Linked DNA regions of Schizosaccharomyces pombe. Changing the gene in region 1 together with any one later gene gives a genetic interaction. Each region holds a gene or a part of one and is shown on either strand. Other genes may lie near its edges.

Region 1 (7,192 bases):
AATAAGCCAACTAAGAAACAACACAAGCGTGCATTTAGCATGTTTGAGAGGCCCACTTCTCAGAAAGCCCCATTGTCACCAGTAGAAAGCAAGATTAACCTTATGGTTGCTCCTAAACGTGTATTAAATTGTGCTTCAGATTCTTTAAGAGCTTTATTAGCAGGAAAGACGGATAAATCTTTTTGGGGTTCACGTATACCATTCTTGTTTAATAAATTGAAATCCAAACAGAAGGCTGTATCCAGCTCCTTCAATACGGAAAACTCATTTTTAATTCTTCAAGCAGTTTCGCCTTTAACTTTTGGAGGTTGTTTCAAAGAAGAAAACGCGTATGGGCAGAAGAAGCAGCACATGAGACACGCTACCGTTTTTTAATGTTTGCGTTACGATATTGTATATCTCAACAATGCATGATAATTATCAAACTGCCTGTTTCCTATATTAGTTTTTTAAAAAGATGGCTCTTCGACTTTTTCTTAAGAAAAGCGGTTTATATGGTTATCAATTATTAAAGCTTGAATTGATTGTTTGACAATGTTGAACAATGGGTTTCCTAAAAAAAGACGCTTTAGCTGATTTTTATCGTTTATCAGCGTGTATATTACTTGCCTTGTACTTTACAGTTTCCGCTTTTCATCTTTATTCTAACTTTTTATTTTAATTTTTAATTTTTTGGTACAAGCACCTTTCGTTCTTTAAACTACTTTTAAACTATTAAATTTCTTTCACTCATATGTCCTTATATCTAATTCACTCGTTAATAATATTTTATCATTACCCTTGAGTTATACTTATTAGTAAATAGTGTAATATTTTAATTACAATAAATGGAACGCGTTCTTTTACGCGTCTCTTCTTTAAGCAAGTACATTGCGAGTCTAACACGAACGTAATAAAGAGTTGAGCACCACATTTTGAAATCGCATCTTTCAAGCTTCAATATTGCGAAGTACTAATTAATAAAATCAGCCTATGGCTCTTATGGATATAGAGCATTGAAAGTTTACTGCATTTGTCATTTATTTGTTAAATACCCAAGGTGAATAGTACAAAAGCGTGCAAAAGCCAACTTTTGCGATGATAAAGTTACAGTTTCAAAGAAACATTGTCCCAACACATGACAATCCGTTAACGACTTCCGAGATTTTAAAACGACTACGTGATTTACTAGGAGAGCTTACTAGCCTATCCCAAGATACTATCGACCGTGACTCAGTATTGCCAGTAGCACGATCATTAGTAAATAACAATTTGCTCCATCACAAAGATAAAGGGATACGCTCTTATACACTTTGTTGTATTGTTGAATTGCTTCGTTTATGTGCCCCCGATGCGCCCTTCACTTTATCACAATTGGAAGATATTTTCCAAGTAATTCTCAAAATTCTTAGTGGTCTTATGAATCAAGAATCTACTTATTATCCACAAATTTACGAGATATTAGAGAGTTTGTCGAACGTTAAATCTGCAGTTCTAATAGTTGATCTCCCGAATGCTGAAGAATTCTTAGTAAATATCTTTCGTCTCTTCTTTGATTTAGCGAGAAAGGGTACTACCAAGAATGTCGAGTTTTACATGCTTGATATTATTAACCAGTTGATCAATGAGATTAACACCATTCCTGCTGCTGCCTTGAACATACTATTTGCTCAACTAATATCAGGAAAGGGCGTAAGGCAAACAATTGGCTCTTCCGATTCTACTAATCACGGTCCAGCTTTTCAACTAGCGAGAAATATTTTTCATGACTCAGCAGATCGACTACAAAGATATGTTTGCCAGTATTTCTCAGATATTATATTCGATTCAAGAGATTCGCTTTCTGACTCCATGACTACTCCAGAATTTATATTCTCGCACAATTTAGTTTTACAATTATGGAAATATGCACCAACCACGTTATTGAACATTATTCCACAATTCGAAAATGAATTGCAAGCTGAACAAACTAGTGTGCGACTTGTGGCGATAGAAACTGTTGGTTTGATGCTCCAAGACAACGCCATATGGTCCGATTATCCTAGGGTATGGAGTGCATTTTGTGGTCGGCTCAATGATAAATCAGTTGCATGTCGTATCAAATGCATTGAAGTTGCTTCCAACGCTCTTCAGAATTCATTGGCTACTTCTGAGATAATTGAAAACGTAGTTCAAATGCTTCAATCAAAGTTGGCCGACACGGATGAAAAGGTGCGGGTTGCTACTCTTAAAACGATCGAACAGTTGACTTTCGAAACCTTTAAAATGCAATTTTCAGTACAGGCTTTGAAACTCATGGGTGACCGTTTACGTGATCGTAAACTCAATGTTCGTTTACAAGCAATTCGGACACTAAGTCAAATTTATAATAGAGCATATCAAGACCTTATAGATGGTGTGGAATACTCAATACAGATGTTCAGCTGGATCCCTTCATCTCTTTTGGAAGTATTTTATGTTAATGATGAAACAACTAATGCGGCTGTTGAAATTTGTATGGCTGAACTGGTCCTACAATACCTTAGTTCTGATACGCAAACAAGGTTAAACAGGCTTTTCCTTTCAATAAAGTATTTTAGTGAAAAAGCGATGCGAGTTTTTATTCTACTTTTACAAAGACAAGTTAAGTATTCGGAACTCTTAAATTACTACATTGAGTGCTGCAAAAATTACAATGGAGGTGTTATGGATAATGATGAAGAGTCAATTACCAACAAGCTTAAGAAGGTGATTGATATCATATCATCAAAAAGTTCTAATCCTACATTAACAGAAGCCACTTTCAGAAAATTTGCGGAACTTAATGATCGTCAAAGCTACAAAATGCTTTTACAAACGTTTTCCATTAAAAGTGAATATCAAGTTGTTTTAAAAAGCATAAAATATTTATTTAAAAGGGTTTCTGAAACGTTGAGTACCGCAAGTCTTGAATGTTTTAGAATATTCGTTTACCGTTCAGCTCTGTTTGCTTTTAATAAAAGCAACGTGCATGAAATAATTCAATTATTAAATGAACCTGTAAAATACCACAATTTCCTTAAGCCGTCGGAGGCTCTTTTACAGCATTTACCGCTAATTCATCCCAACATATATGGAGAGGTTGTTATAGAAGTTGAAAATATTATAGTTTCTTCGGGCATTGAATCGGATCCTAAAGTAATTAAAGCTCTTTCCCAATTCTCCAAAAGAAAAAAAAATTTTTCTATACAAACAACAACTGCTGAAATACTACGAAAGTTGTGTCTACATGGAACACAGGAACAAGCCAAACAGGCAGCGACGATTATCGCTATAACGGAGACGAAAGAATTCAAACTCGATATGATAACGAATATCGTGGAAAATTTGGAGTATAATGGAGGACTTCCTGTACGGCTTATGACTTTAGGACAACTATTTCTATACACTTTAGAAGAGGTAGAGAAGGTTGCTGACCAAGTTACAGAATTTTTAGTAAAAAAAGTTATACAGCGCTTTCCTGAAAAATATGATGATACGCATAATGATGAGGAATGGTGTACTTACGAAAAATTAGATAATCTTACCATGTGCAAAGTTTTAGCAATTAGGGTTTTGGTTAATCGACTGAGGGCGGCGGCAGGAGGAACCGAAGCGTTAAATATTGGAGCTCCTATCATTAAGCTATTGAAAGTATTGTTAATGGCTGACGGTGAATTAAGTCCGTTCAAGAATACTCCCAAAATTTCTCGTGCTTATTTACGTCTCACTGCTAGCAAATATTTTTTAAAGTTATGTTCCATTCCTTTTTATGCGGAACATATAGATTTTAGTTCTTACGTTCAAATCTCCTTATTATGCCAAGATGAAAATTTTGACGTGAGAAATTTATTTTTGACGAAGCTTCAGAAGCAGCTGCAACTTAAAAAGTTGCCAATTAGTTATTATCCTTTATTGTTCCTGACTGCTGTTGATCCGGAAGAGGAGATCAAGACTAAAGCGTCTATATGGATACGTTCTCAGGTTGCTTTTTTCCAGAAAACCCATGATTTTACCATGGAATATGTAGCAACATATCTTATCCATCTTCTCTCTCACCATCCAGACATATCTTCGATAGAATCAGAGAACTCGCTTGATTTTATTGCATACATTCGCTTTTACGTTGACACTGTTGTTAATAGTGAGAACGTCCCAATCGTTTTTCATCTAATGCAACGCATAAAACAAAGCTATGATGTTATTGAAGATGGAAACAATTACATTTATGTGCTAAGCGACATGGCTCAGAAAATATTGCAGGTGAAATCCCAGAACTTTGGATGGAGTTTGACTACGTATCCAAAGCAAATTAAATTACCTTACGAAATTTTAAGACCAATTCCCTCTATAGATGAGAAAAAGAGAATTTTCAATAAAATCTTCATAACGCCTAAAATGGAAAGTCAGATTGAACATGCTATAAGGACACCAGTCTCATCTTTTGCGAAACAGACTACCAATAAGCACGCAAATTTGAAGCAAAAGAAGACTCATAGCTCAAAGAGCGATAAAAAATCGTCTAGAAGAAGGAAAAACGAAAAAAGGAGAAAGCTAAATGAGCAGAATCCTAATATTAGGAACGTGCCAGAACGAAGTAGCTCAAGATTTCAAGGGATTCGTATAAATTATTCGGAAGCACCGTCTTCAAGTGAGGAGATAAGCGAAGAAGAGGAGGAAATTAGCGAAGAAGATTTTGATGAAATAGAGGATTTATAAAAAAGGCTTATTTGGATGCGAAATACCGATACTAGAACACTTACCCAATATTACCAATGAATTTTCAATGTTAATTAGATAAATTGCTATCTTTTTTGTTAAACAATCTATGCTTGCTAATTGCCTAAACTTTTGAAAGATGACTCCATCACATACATGCCTCCATAACTTCTGCATCTATTAATTTTTTTCATTCCTAGTAATATAATAATAAAAGTTGCATTTTTGAGTTTTTTTACGCTTTACAATTCGTAAAATCTAATAGTGAGATTGGATTAGCCGCTGTAGTATATCTTAATAAAGCATGGCTGGGCGAACTAATTACGGTGACCGCACAATATATTTACCTACAACCAACACCGGTGTTTGATACTTAGGGGTTTGAACTTTCTAGGAATTCAATAAAGTGAAGCAAAGCTTTACGATTAATTATTTTTTGTGAAATAGTATGCCCACCATTAAGTGTGTCGTAGTAGGAGACGGTGCTGTAGGAAAGGTGAGTTGATGTTTACGGAAGGTGAAGTTAAGCAATGCATAAAAAAATACAAGAATTGCTATCATCTAAAATGAAGTTTCTTTTGTCTATACATTCCCCTTTATTTCTTTCTTTCCAAAAATTGTTCTTTTGAGTTTTACACATACTGACCGTTTGAATGTAGACCTGTCTGCTTATTTCCTATACTACAAACAAGTTTCCTAGTGACTATGTGCCAACTGTATTCGATAATGTAAGTATAATTAGTTGTTTATGGAATGAAGTACTTGGTGAAGTTTTGTCCCCATATTAGAAATTTTTTACTATTCAAATGTTCGGTCACGGAAAATTTTGATATAAGGCTTTTTGTCAAAAAAAGGCTGAAGGATTAAACAATGACTCAATGTATTTATCGATTTTATCTCAGAAACTATTGAAAGTTTAATAATTTTTTTTTATCCGATGCTTTTTTTTTTCCACACTAGATCTAAAGACCGTAGGAAGCCTTATCTCGTAAGGAATAAGATGAGGCGACCACTTTCTTTCCCAGGAAGATTTGGTCGTTATTATTTCTGCTATTTGCTATATTGGGGACTATTCTAACTTTCTTGTTGCTTTTACTCCCGTTTTTAATTGATATAGCTGATTTTCATTTTATAGTAAAGATTTACTGACTAAAATAGTATGCTGTCACTGTCATGATCGGTGATGAACCATACACTCTTGGTTTATTCGATACCGCTGGTCAGGAGGATTATGATCGCTTGCGTCCTTTATCCTATCCTCAAACAGACGTCTTTTTGGTTTGTTTTAGTGTAACTTCTCCTGCCAGTTTTGAAAATGTGAAAGAAAAGTGGTTTCCCGAAGTTCATCATCATTGTCCGGGCGTCCCGTGCTTAATTGTTGGTACCCAAATTGATTTACGTGATGACCCTTCTGTGCAACAGAAACTAGCTCGCCAGCATCAGCATCCCCTTACACATGAGCAAGGTGAACGATTAGCTCGTGAGTTGGGTGCTGTCAAGTATGTTGAGTGTTCCGCTTTGACCCAAAAAGGGTTAAAGAATGTTTTTGATGAAGCTATTGTAGCCGCTCTTGATCCTCCTGTTCCTCACAAGAAAAAGTCAAAGTGTTTGGTACTGTAATTTAACCCCTGGTTTTCTTTCCTTTTCCGAAATTTCCTTAATACAGCTAGTTTACAACAGTAAACAATGTCTTAGCTTTCTTTAACGATCCCTCATATTTGCAAAGATATTTGCTATTTGTTGTTTTCATCCTAGCTTTTGTGCTTCTTCATTCATTCTGTCAATCACACACTTCTTGGGCTTTACATATCTGTGTTTTCTGGCTAGGCATATTTCCTTTTTCCGTTAAATAAACGACGATTTTGCTATACTTTTGCTACATTATTGTATTCTTCTGCCATTACTCGCAGAATTCGGTATGGTCCGACTTTGATTTTAGCTCTAATATTAGTGTAGCCAGGTAATTCGCAAATAATATTATTTCATTTGTTAGAAAATAAATCGATAATTTAATCATTTTTAGGTGATACGATTATGTTGACTCATTTGCTCTTGTCGCTAGAGCATTAAAGGAGAAAAAATGGATCTACAGTATTGCTTAAATACATGTGATTATTTTAAAGCTTCTGCAATAGTTTGTTTTATTAACAATGACTATATTTTAACTTACTTCCAGTAATTCTGATAAGAAAGATATCTAAATTGAAATGTATCCTACCGAAACCCAGTTGAGATTCGATTTTACGAAGTTTAAACATACCGCGTAAATGAAATTCTCGCATAAAATAGGGAAATATTAAACACTACACTAAACCTAAAGAATAATATTCTTCCATTTTTACTCCTTTTGCTCGTCAATTTCCATAGTTTCAACTTCTTCGTTTTCAGGAGCTACTTCCTCAGCAGGAGGAGGAGGAGGAGCACGACCACCGGTGCCTTCCTCAAATTTTCCTGAAGGCTTTTGCTTTTCAGCTTCGGATTTAGTAGCGGCCTTGGC
Region 2 (8,867 bases), on another chromosome or scaffold:
TATGAGCTTAAGCCATATGGAGTTTTTACCTAAAGATGAACGAGTTTTAGGCAACCTCTACATCTCAGCACTTCAAGCTAAGATACTTGGAGGTGCCAGTTTTGAACAGTGTGGAAAAATAGGTTCAGCCATTCACGAGCAACTTGAAGGGAAAGAAGTTGTAAATGAATTGGTTGCTGTGTATTTGATTTATACTGTTTTCAAAGATCAAGGTATTAGCAGTAAAGCTCATAAAGCTTTAGTTCAATTTAACGGACTAACAAGTTTTCACTCCGATGTCATTATTTCAGTGTTTGTCAACAAAGGTCTCGTCGATCAAGCTGCTGCTTATCTGAAAAATTCTAATCTTAACGAAAGAAATCTACCAACGATCTATACAACCGTTTGGTTACTTCAAAGACTTTTTGAAGCACACCATTCTCTAGATCCTTTGCTAACTATTTTCGATTATTATCTTTCAGTGTCACCCAAAGATATCACTCGTTTGACAAATGCTATTTTAAGTCTTTCAATGAAGCAATTTGAACGAGATCGGGATATTAAAAAGGCTACCGACTTTATCACTACGTTTATCAACAAGATGTCAGATGTAAAGGAGTTCAAACCATCCATTAGTACTGCCAACACCTTGTTCTCTATTGCTAGTCGTTTAAAGGATGTAAAATGGCTTTCTGCTGGATTTGATATGATAGACAAGTACGGGTTAAAGCCTACTCATGTCACTTATCGGTCATTATTGAAAGCATACTGTTTATTGCCAAGCACATGTGAGCAAATTTCGCAGGCTTGGGTAAATCTTGAGTATCGTCTTGAAGCTATTTCCATTTCTGTTGCAGATAAAGAAATAAATCTCCTAAAGGACTGCATTCTATCTCAACCTGACAGAGATGATCAACAAAGTTGCCTGCAATTTCTGAATATGGTGCTATCAAAATACGGTAAACATATACGTTCGCCATAAATTTTTTTGCACTTTGGATAATCTCATATAGTTCTTCCTTTTAACGAGATTACGATTAAATGTGTACATCACAGCCATATTACCTGCATGCATTAAAGTTCAAAAGTGTTCACTCCCATCTTTTAATATGTCCCACACTTTCACAAATTGAGTTATTTATTTTATTTAGGAACGTTTCGGTGGTGATTTTTGATTTTCGTTTTATGAAGTTACCTGGATGGGTTTAATTGTTTACCTCTTTGATATTTGTTAATTTTCCTTAACGTACATACTCCTTTCTGTTTTTTGCTATAGCCATCTTTTATATTAAATATATATTTTTTTATTCCAGATACAGGTTTTGTGTTCGTCTTAATAGTTTAGCATCTAAAAACACCTGTTTATTCTCAAGAGATATGGATAGTTTGAAATACTTAGAAGCTTTGCCTGGTTTATGACAAGTACGAAAAGTAAGGGATTTAAACCGCGCTAAGTTATGCTGTTAAAGACAGCTTTAAACGAATATTAGAGGATATTTTTCCCGGTATTTGTAGGTATGTCTTGCTAGTGGAAAATTTGTAAGTTAAATTATTATCACTATATTTTAATGCTTTATATGCACTCAAACAGCTGGGGTCGGTGTATGTCATTGTATTAATGTGAGACCAAAGTGCTTTATTGTACTCTATGAATCACAAATTTTGCTTTACATTAAAGTATTAGTTTAAATTTTAACTGCTTATCTCGCAAAAAATACGCTGCCTAGAAAATATACTAAGTTTAAAATAGTAATTCATTTAGGTATGGTGGTTGTTAAAAAGAGCATATAAATAGAAAAATTTGATGTTTTGAAAGTAATGTCTATAAAACATAAATGAGTTATGTTTAGCAATGCTTATATTTGCAAGGATGCTGTATACGCCGTAACAGCATTATTAGATGCACTTGTTAAATTCAGTGCTGCTCGAACGTACTATCATGTAATATTGTAAGATTCAAATGGTTTCTGCTATCTGTTTACTTACAGTTCTTGATCATATGCCTAAAAATGTAAAACAATACCGAATTTACTTATTAAGTTCCAGTTCACCTGAGCAAACAACGGCGCGTTGCCCAACAATTATAACCGAGGATAGTAAGAATCTGATTTTATTATATAGTATCCAAATTTAGGAGCAAACATTATTTCAATCAAAACATCGCATCTTACCATATCGTTAGCGAGTTTAAGAAGATACGGAATTAGTGGATAGCAGAGTAGATAGAGTACGTTACGGAGATCGAGTAGTTTATCAAACCAGTATTACTTCTTCGACCATAGACCCTTCCTCAAGTACGATTAAATTTACAGACATAATGGTAATTTGTATTTTTATTATAAGGAGCAATTTCTGACTTCTTTTTAGAGTGCTCAAACGAATTCTGGTATCCAACAACTTTTAGAGGTAAGTTCAGGTAATTCCAAGATCGTTATTTCTAATGAGATATGTAGGCTGAAAAAGTTGCTAGAAATATAGTCGAAAAGGCTCGCCAACGTAAGTTTAATCAATCGGAGCAACGTTTCTAAAAGATAAAAAGATCGCACTCAAAGATTGAAGGATGCACGTCTTGAGGCTAAACGCGAAATTGATGAATACGCTTCCAAGAAGGAAGAGGAATTCAAAAAGTCAGAAAGTCAGGTAAAGTTATTCAATACAGTTTTTAAGAGTTTGGACAATCAATTTTAACATATCAGGCTTCTGGTATATATAGTCAGGCTGAAGCGGAGAGCAAAAAGCAAGTCCAGGACACATTTGCAAGTATCGAGACAAGCTCCCAGAAGAACTCTGATAAAGTGGTTGATGCTATTTTATCTATAACTTGCAATGTTAAGTAAACTTACTGTTTATTACTAAATTTTTATATACACATTCTTACTATCCTCTGAAGGGAAAACTGTATTTGCAATTTTTAGCAATAAATCACTTTAACGGTAATCATCTAATATTCCCATACATGTATGAAATATTTGCAATTATTAGATCGTAAAGGGTATAGAATTCTGTCTGCGAGGGATGCTGTTAAATAATCATGCATTCAGATAGCTAATGATTCTTATTAAGCAAAATCATATAGTGGACTGTTGATATCCCAGGAATATGGTCAAATACGAGTTTAGCTCATTTTTTATTTTAGTATTGTGAAATATTAGCGAAGTTATCCAATAATTACCTTCAACCGTAGACGGACCTTGTATAAATAATAAGTTACCTGGTTAATACTCGATCGCATTTCCATAATACCTTTGTGGTAGATCAAGTCAATCGACCTCATTACACACGTGAATAAATAAATTAGATACATGTATTATAGTAACTATGCAATTGTCACCCTCATCGTTATACTAAGCGTATTTCAATGGAAACGTAAGCATAATCACAATTCTTAGTTCTTTGGTCCTTCATTTATTCGTTAATATACGAAGATGAGACATTCTATCCTTTGCCTTCAAACGTACCGACATGTATATTAGAAGAAATAAATAAAACACCTATTCAACACCTAATACTACTATTACCCCCACGTAAGTACTGGTTAAACCATGACTAGGTCAAAACACATTCTGCAACACTCTCCTAATGTAATATAACAGACTTGCAGATTTCAAAAAGCAAAGCCCCCACGAAGGTCGTCTTTCCCCACATAGATTATTATCGTTAAAGTGGGCTAAGCCAAACACGGTAAACACTGTTTTGCCAGCCATCAAGATTTAAGCCTTCGATTACAACACCGCATAACCACATAGCTGTGTTTTTTCTGCTTTTACCACAACTATGGCAAGTCAGCGGTTCGTGATTGCTTTGCATTCCTTTCCGGGGAAGAGTAGTGATGAACTTCCGTTGGTTGAAGGTCGGAAGTATCTGTTGATAAAGATGGATGAAGAATTTGGTGATGGTTGGTGGGAAGTAAGTATATAACTTCGAAGTCAAAATCCTATTATTTTTATTCCTGGTATATTTTATAATTTGAAGGATTCTTGATGCCTGCTTTGTACAGTTTTCCAATCCACATAAAGATGCAAACACTATATGTCAAAGTTGCATGCCCTTAGGATTGTGAAACCTTGATATATTTTTATCATACTAACTAAGTTTTAATAGGGAGAAGATGAACAGGGAAATAGGGGTATTTTTCCTGCTTCGCACGTAGAATTGATATCTGATGAGAGGTCTGACTCAAGTGATTCAAGAAGAGGCAAAGAAGATTTCTCCATTTCTACCGCGGAAGTCACAAGATCCTCTTTATCAAGCAGCCGGTCAACTTCTTCACGATCGGACAAGGACAGTGAAAAGTTGTATTCGAATAATTCCTTGTCTTCAAGTCACTCATCAATCTTAAACGGCCCCCTTGATAGTCTTTCGAAACCTTCGGTCCCTAGTAATTTTAACTCAATGTTTCCATCTTCTAAACAAGAAGGCCCTTCCCCTTTGTTGGATAACCAACCTTCCTCAGATCTATCAAACTTCAACACTATTGATGCCGATTATAATAATGCTTCTGCTTCTACTTCTGCTCCTGCTACTTCAGCAAGCTTGAAAAAGGTTTTGTCAGCTGAGGATTCCGTTAGAGAAACTATTACAGATATTGAAACAGCTTTACAGAATATGTCAACTTCAGCATCTCGTACTCCAAATGACAGTTCACCTTTGCCCTATATTGAAAATCGACCTGCATCCTCTCTTGCTGTTTCCGAAAAAATTCAAAATGTTCCTAACTGGTCTACGGAAGAGGTAGTTGAATGGCTTATGAATGCCGGCCTTGGATCAGTAGCTCCTAATTTTGCGGAGAATGAAATAACCGGTGAAATTTTATTAGGCTTAGATTCCAATGTTTTGAAAGAACTTAACATTACTTCTTTTGGAAAACGTTTTGAAGTTTTACGAAAGATCCAACAATTAAAAGATTCATACGAACAATCTTTATATGAAGAATATCCGCAGTTTGCTGAGCCTATTTCTGTTAGCCAAAGTTCTGATTCCTCCTCTTCTATTCCAAAAAAATCTAATGATGAAGCCGGCGGTTCACCATCAAAATCCAGTCCAACTCGTCCGGGATTTAACGATTATGTTAATCGTCCGACTAGTGTGATGCCTTCTTTGTCAAATATGATTGTTTCACCTGATTTGGACTCATCTCCATCTACCGATTGGAACCAATACGTGATTCCTCCTTTAGCCACACCAAGTTCGCGCAATTCTAAGTCTACGCAATCTGCGGTCCCTGAAAATGTATCTCGTTTTGATTCTAACGAACCTTCGGCCACATCACCGATATTAAAACGTTCATCCCCTACGGACTCAATTTCTCAAAATAGCGGTTTACCTTCTCGTCTTACTGAGCCCATCTCTTCTCCTTCTACCAGTAGCATTGATGTTGATAAGGAAGGAACTTCATTTCCTGGTTTACCTTATCATTCATCTAAGGGCAACTTGTATGCTCCTCAACCATCTTCTAACGTTCCTACTAAATTTACGGGCGGTGCATCGGAATCTTCTTCCGTACCTCCTAGACCTATTCCAAGTGCTATGAAAGGAAAAGCACCAGCTTCAGCTATATCTATCGAAGCTTTGGAAGAATTGGATCCTCCAAAGATTACTACTATTGATGGTGAAAGTCCTTCATCGATAAGTTCTCGACTCCCTAGTAGCAATCTCGAACAAGGGAGTTCAAGTTCTGTTACTAAGTCACCTGAATCAATGCCAGACCCATCAGCAAAAGCATCATCGCCTGTCACAAGCAAAGGGGTGTCCATAAACGAAAAATCCGCTGTTAATAATTATGCCACTCCTCTTTCAAAACCTCAACCCAAAGATACGAAGGGCTCAAAATTAGGAAATACTTTTGTTGCTCCATCTCCGGCTGCTTCCTTACCCGCTTCACCTCCAGTCGGCACTGAGTTAAAGACTCGTCCAACCCTTCGTTCTGTTGCTTCATCACCATTAAATAAAGAGCCAATAGGTAAACGAAAGTCGAAACGTGATATTTTTGGGAGACAAAAGGTTTTACCTACTGGAATTAGTGAAGGATTAAGTAATATACCTGCCAAAGAAGCAATTAAAACGGCGGACTGTCATGGTTGGATGCGGAAACGTAGTGATCGTTACGGTGTTTGGAAGTCTAGATACTTTGTATTAAAAGGAACAAGGCTTTCTTATTACCATTCATTAAATGATGCTTCAGAAAAAGGCCTAATTGATATGACTTCTCATCGTGTTACGAAAACCGATGACATTGTTCTAAGTGGAGGCAAAACTGCTATCAAGTTAATTCCACCTGCTCCAGGTGCCGCTAAAGCAGCAGTTATGTTCACTCCACCAAAGGTTCATTATTTTACTTGTGAAAATAATGAAGAATTACATCGTTGGTCTTCGGCTTTTCTCAAGGCTACTGTGGAACGCGATATGTCGGTACCTGTTTTGACAACGTCGAGAATGCCTACCATTTCACTTAGCAAAGCTAAAGAACTTCGTACTAGGCCTCCTTCTCTATTAATTGATGATGAAAATGAAGCAAATCTCACTTCTTCGATTGGATTAAAGAAGAATGCAAAACAAAAGAATAAGAAATCAAGCAAGCAAAAATAAATACCGACACTCCTCAAAATCCACAAAAGCAAAGTGCAACACATTCCAATTCTAAAACCTGCGCAACAGACCCTGTTCTTAGTATCTGGTTTTCCTTAATCTATTTTCAAACTAAATATCCCTTCAAAATTGAAAACATAGCTAATATGTTTGAATTTTAAATTCGTTGATGCTTTTACTGCGGACATATTTGACACCAATTTAAGAATTAACCGGGCATATTTGATACGCTCATTTCGATTCTGGTTTACCGACATTTACTAGCGGAAGCTATAGTATCTTCATCATGCACATATGGCTTATTTAACGTTGAATTATTTGCTTTTATCTTTTATTGCATAAATTTTTAAAAGCAAATGCATCATTCTATTAATTCAGCATTTTTTTACTGATAATTTTCATTTGTTTGTCGACTTCCTACCACTTTCGTTTGTTTTATTTTTAATCTTTATTTCGATCATTTCGATCCAGCTGAGTCCACGCTGGTAGCGGACCTGGATCATTGCAGAATTCGTAGGCCTTTTACTAGTGATACTAATATAGCTAATGAAAATTTAGAATGTTTGTTTTCTATGTATGGGCATTCCTGGCATTCCTTGGATTAGCAAATACGTTTTCTTGGCTGCGGTTTTTTATCTTTACATGCAATCAAAACCGTGTAGTGACGTCCAAAAAGTAAGCATTGGCTGCTTGTAAGTTGTGTATAAACCCAGAATGTATAAGCAAGTACGCACAAATGTAGCTTTTCGTAGAAGCAATTCTTTTTTGAAATTTCAAAAACGACACTATATCCATTTTTTGGCGATCAACTTCAATAAGAGCAATAGTCAAACTCGTTAAACAATTCGTTAAATCGGCATTAAAAAACTATACCATACACTCCCTTTTCTGTTAAATTCCAATCGACTATCAGGGTTAGGGTTTTGTTATACCCAGGTCTTTTATTCATATAAAAATTACGCACCACTAAAATTTTCCTTTAACCAAACTCTCAGTTAGTTTAGGTGCAACAGAGAAAAGTTTAGTATGGCTCAACCACAAAACGTTCCTACCTTTAAGCTTGTACTTGTCGGCGATGGTGGTACCGGTAAGACCACGTTCGTCAAGCGTCATTTGACTGGTGAATTTGAAAAGAAGTATATTGCAACTTTGGTACGTTTTATGATTTTACTTTATTAGAACAGTTTTTGTATACCGGAAACGATGCCTAGTATCGTAAATAAATGCCATCTTTTTATGAGACATACAGTTATCTGTACTCGTGCATCATCGGTTTTCAGTTACTCTTTTTATGCTTAGATCTTTCGTTTAGAAACAACAGTCTAACATATTTTTAGGGTGTTGAGGTCCATCCTTTGCATTTTCATACTAATTTTGGTGAAATTTGCTTTAATGTTTGGGATACCGCTGGTCAAGAAAAGTTAGGTGGCCTTCGTGATGGTTACTATATTCAAGGTCAATGTGGTATTATCATGTTTGATGTTACTTCCCGTATTACCTATAAGAATGTTCCCCATTGGTGGCGTAAGTGATATTTAAGCAAAAAAAAGCTTTAAATGTTTTTTTTGATACTCATAGACCGCTAGATTTAATGGTTATAAGTATATTGACATTAGCTTTTTTTGACTACTTTAATGAACATTACTAATCGAATGCAGGTGATCTTGTCCGTGTTTGTGAAAACATTCCCATTGTTCTTTGCGGTAACAAAGTTGATGTTAAAGAGCGTAAAGTCAAGGCTAAGGCTATCACTTTCCATCGCAAGAAAAACCTTCAATACTACGACATCTCCGCCAAGTCCAATTATAACTTCGAAAAACCTTTCTTATGGCTTGCCCGTAAGCTGGTTGGCAACCCCAACCTGGAGTTTGTTGCTTCGCCTGCCCTTGCTCCTCCTGAGGTTCAAGTCGATCAGCAATTGTTAGCTCAATACCAACAGGAAATGAACGAGGCTGCTGCTATGCCTTTACCTGATGAGGATGACGCTGATTTGTAAACCAATTTTTTATATCTTTTTTACGTCTCCCTTGCAGATAAAATACATTGGTTCCTGGCCGATGGGACGGTTCCGGTTTCGAAAAAATACCCCTTCTTTTCCTTAAATAAAACTTATTAGTATTTTTCCACTCGAAAGAATTTATTCATTAAGCTATTCCGTTGGGGTTATTTGAAATAGATTATGTTTAGTTTGATATGTTCATATCACTATGTGTGGTAAAAAGTGTAAATCGTATTTTTTAAGTTAATTGTAATTTTGGTAACTTCATTTTTAGAAATACACATTTGTTGCCTGTATGTTTTGT

What was found.
Region 2: of cdc42 (region 1) and pob1, extra expression of one rescues a mutant of the other (dosage rescue), as found in Schizosaccharomyces pombe (3 studies listed by BioGRID, with this or other methods).

Annotation. Positions count from the first base shown.
Region 1 is NC_003424.3:1,910,965-1,918,156, forward strand, and holds cdc42 (Rho family GTPase Cdc42), read left to right. Parts: upstream 1-5,044; 5' UTR 5,045-5,143; coding exon 5,144-5,191; exon of another isoform or gene 5,192-5,354; coding exon 5,355-5,423; intron 5,424-5,853; coding exon 5,854-6,315; 3' UTR 6,316-6,692; downstream 6,693-7,192. Other genes in the region: serine/threonine protein kinase Ppk1, read left to right, coding at 1-375; mitotic and meiotic cohesin loader subunit Pds5, read left to right, coding at 1,078-4,695; heat shock protein Pss1, read right to left, coding at 7,034-7,192. UniProt on the Schizosaccharomyces pombe protein: Involved in development of cell polarity during the cell division cycle.
Region 2 is NC_003423.3:4,386,040-4,394,906, reverse strand, and holds pob1 (Boi family protein), read left to right. Parts: upstream 1-3,744; 5' UTR 3,745-3,753; coding exon 3,754-3,885; intron 3,886-4,080; coding exon 4,081-6,564; 3' UTR 6,565-7,111; downstream 7,112-8,867. Other genes in the region: PPR repeat-containing protein Ppr8, read left to right, coding at 1-961; vma10 (V-type ATPase V1 domain subunit G), read left to right, coding at 2,297-2,299, 2,347-2,385, 2,433-2,475, 2,519-2,619, 2,676-2,816; Ran GTPase Spi1, read left to right, coding at 7,591-7,716, 7,902-8,088, 8,223-8,560. UniProt on the Schizosaccharomyces pombe protein: Has a role in cell elongation and separation.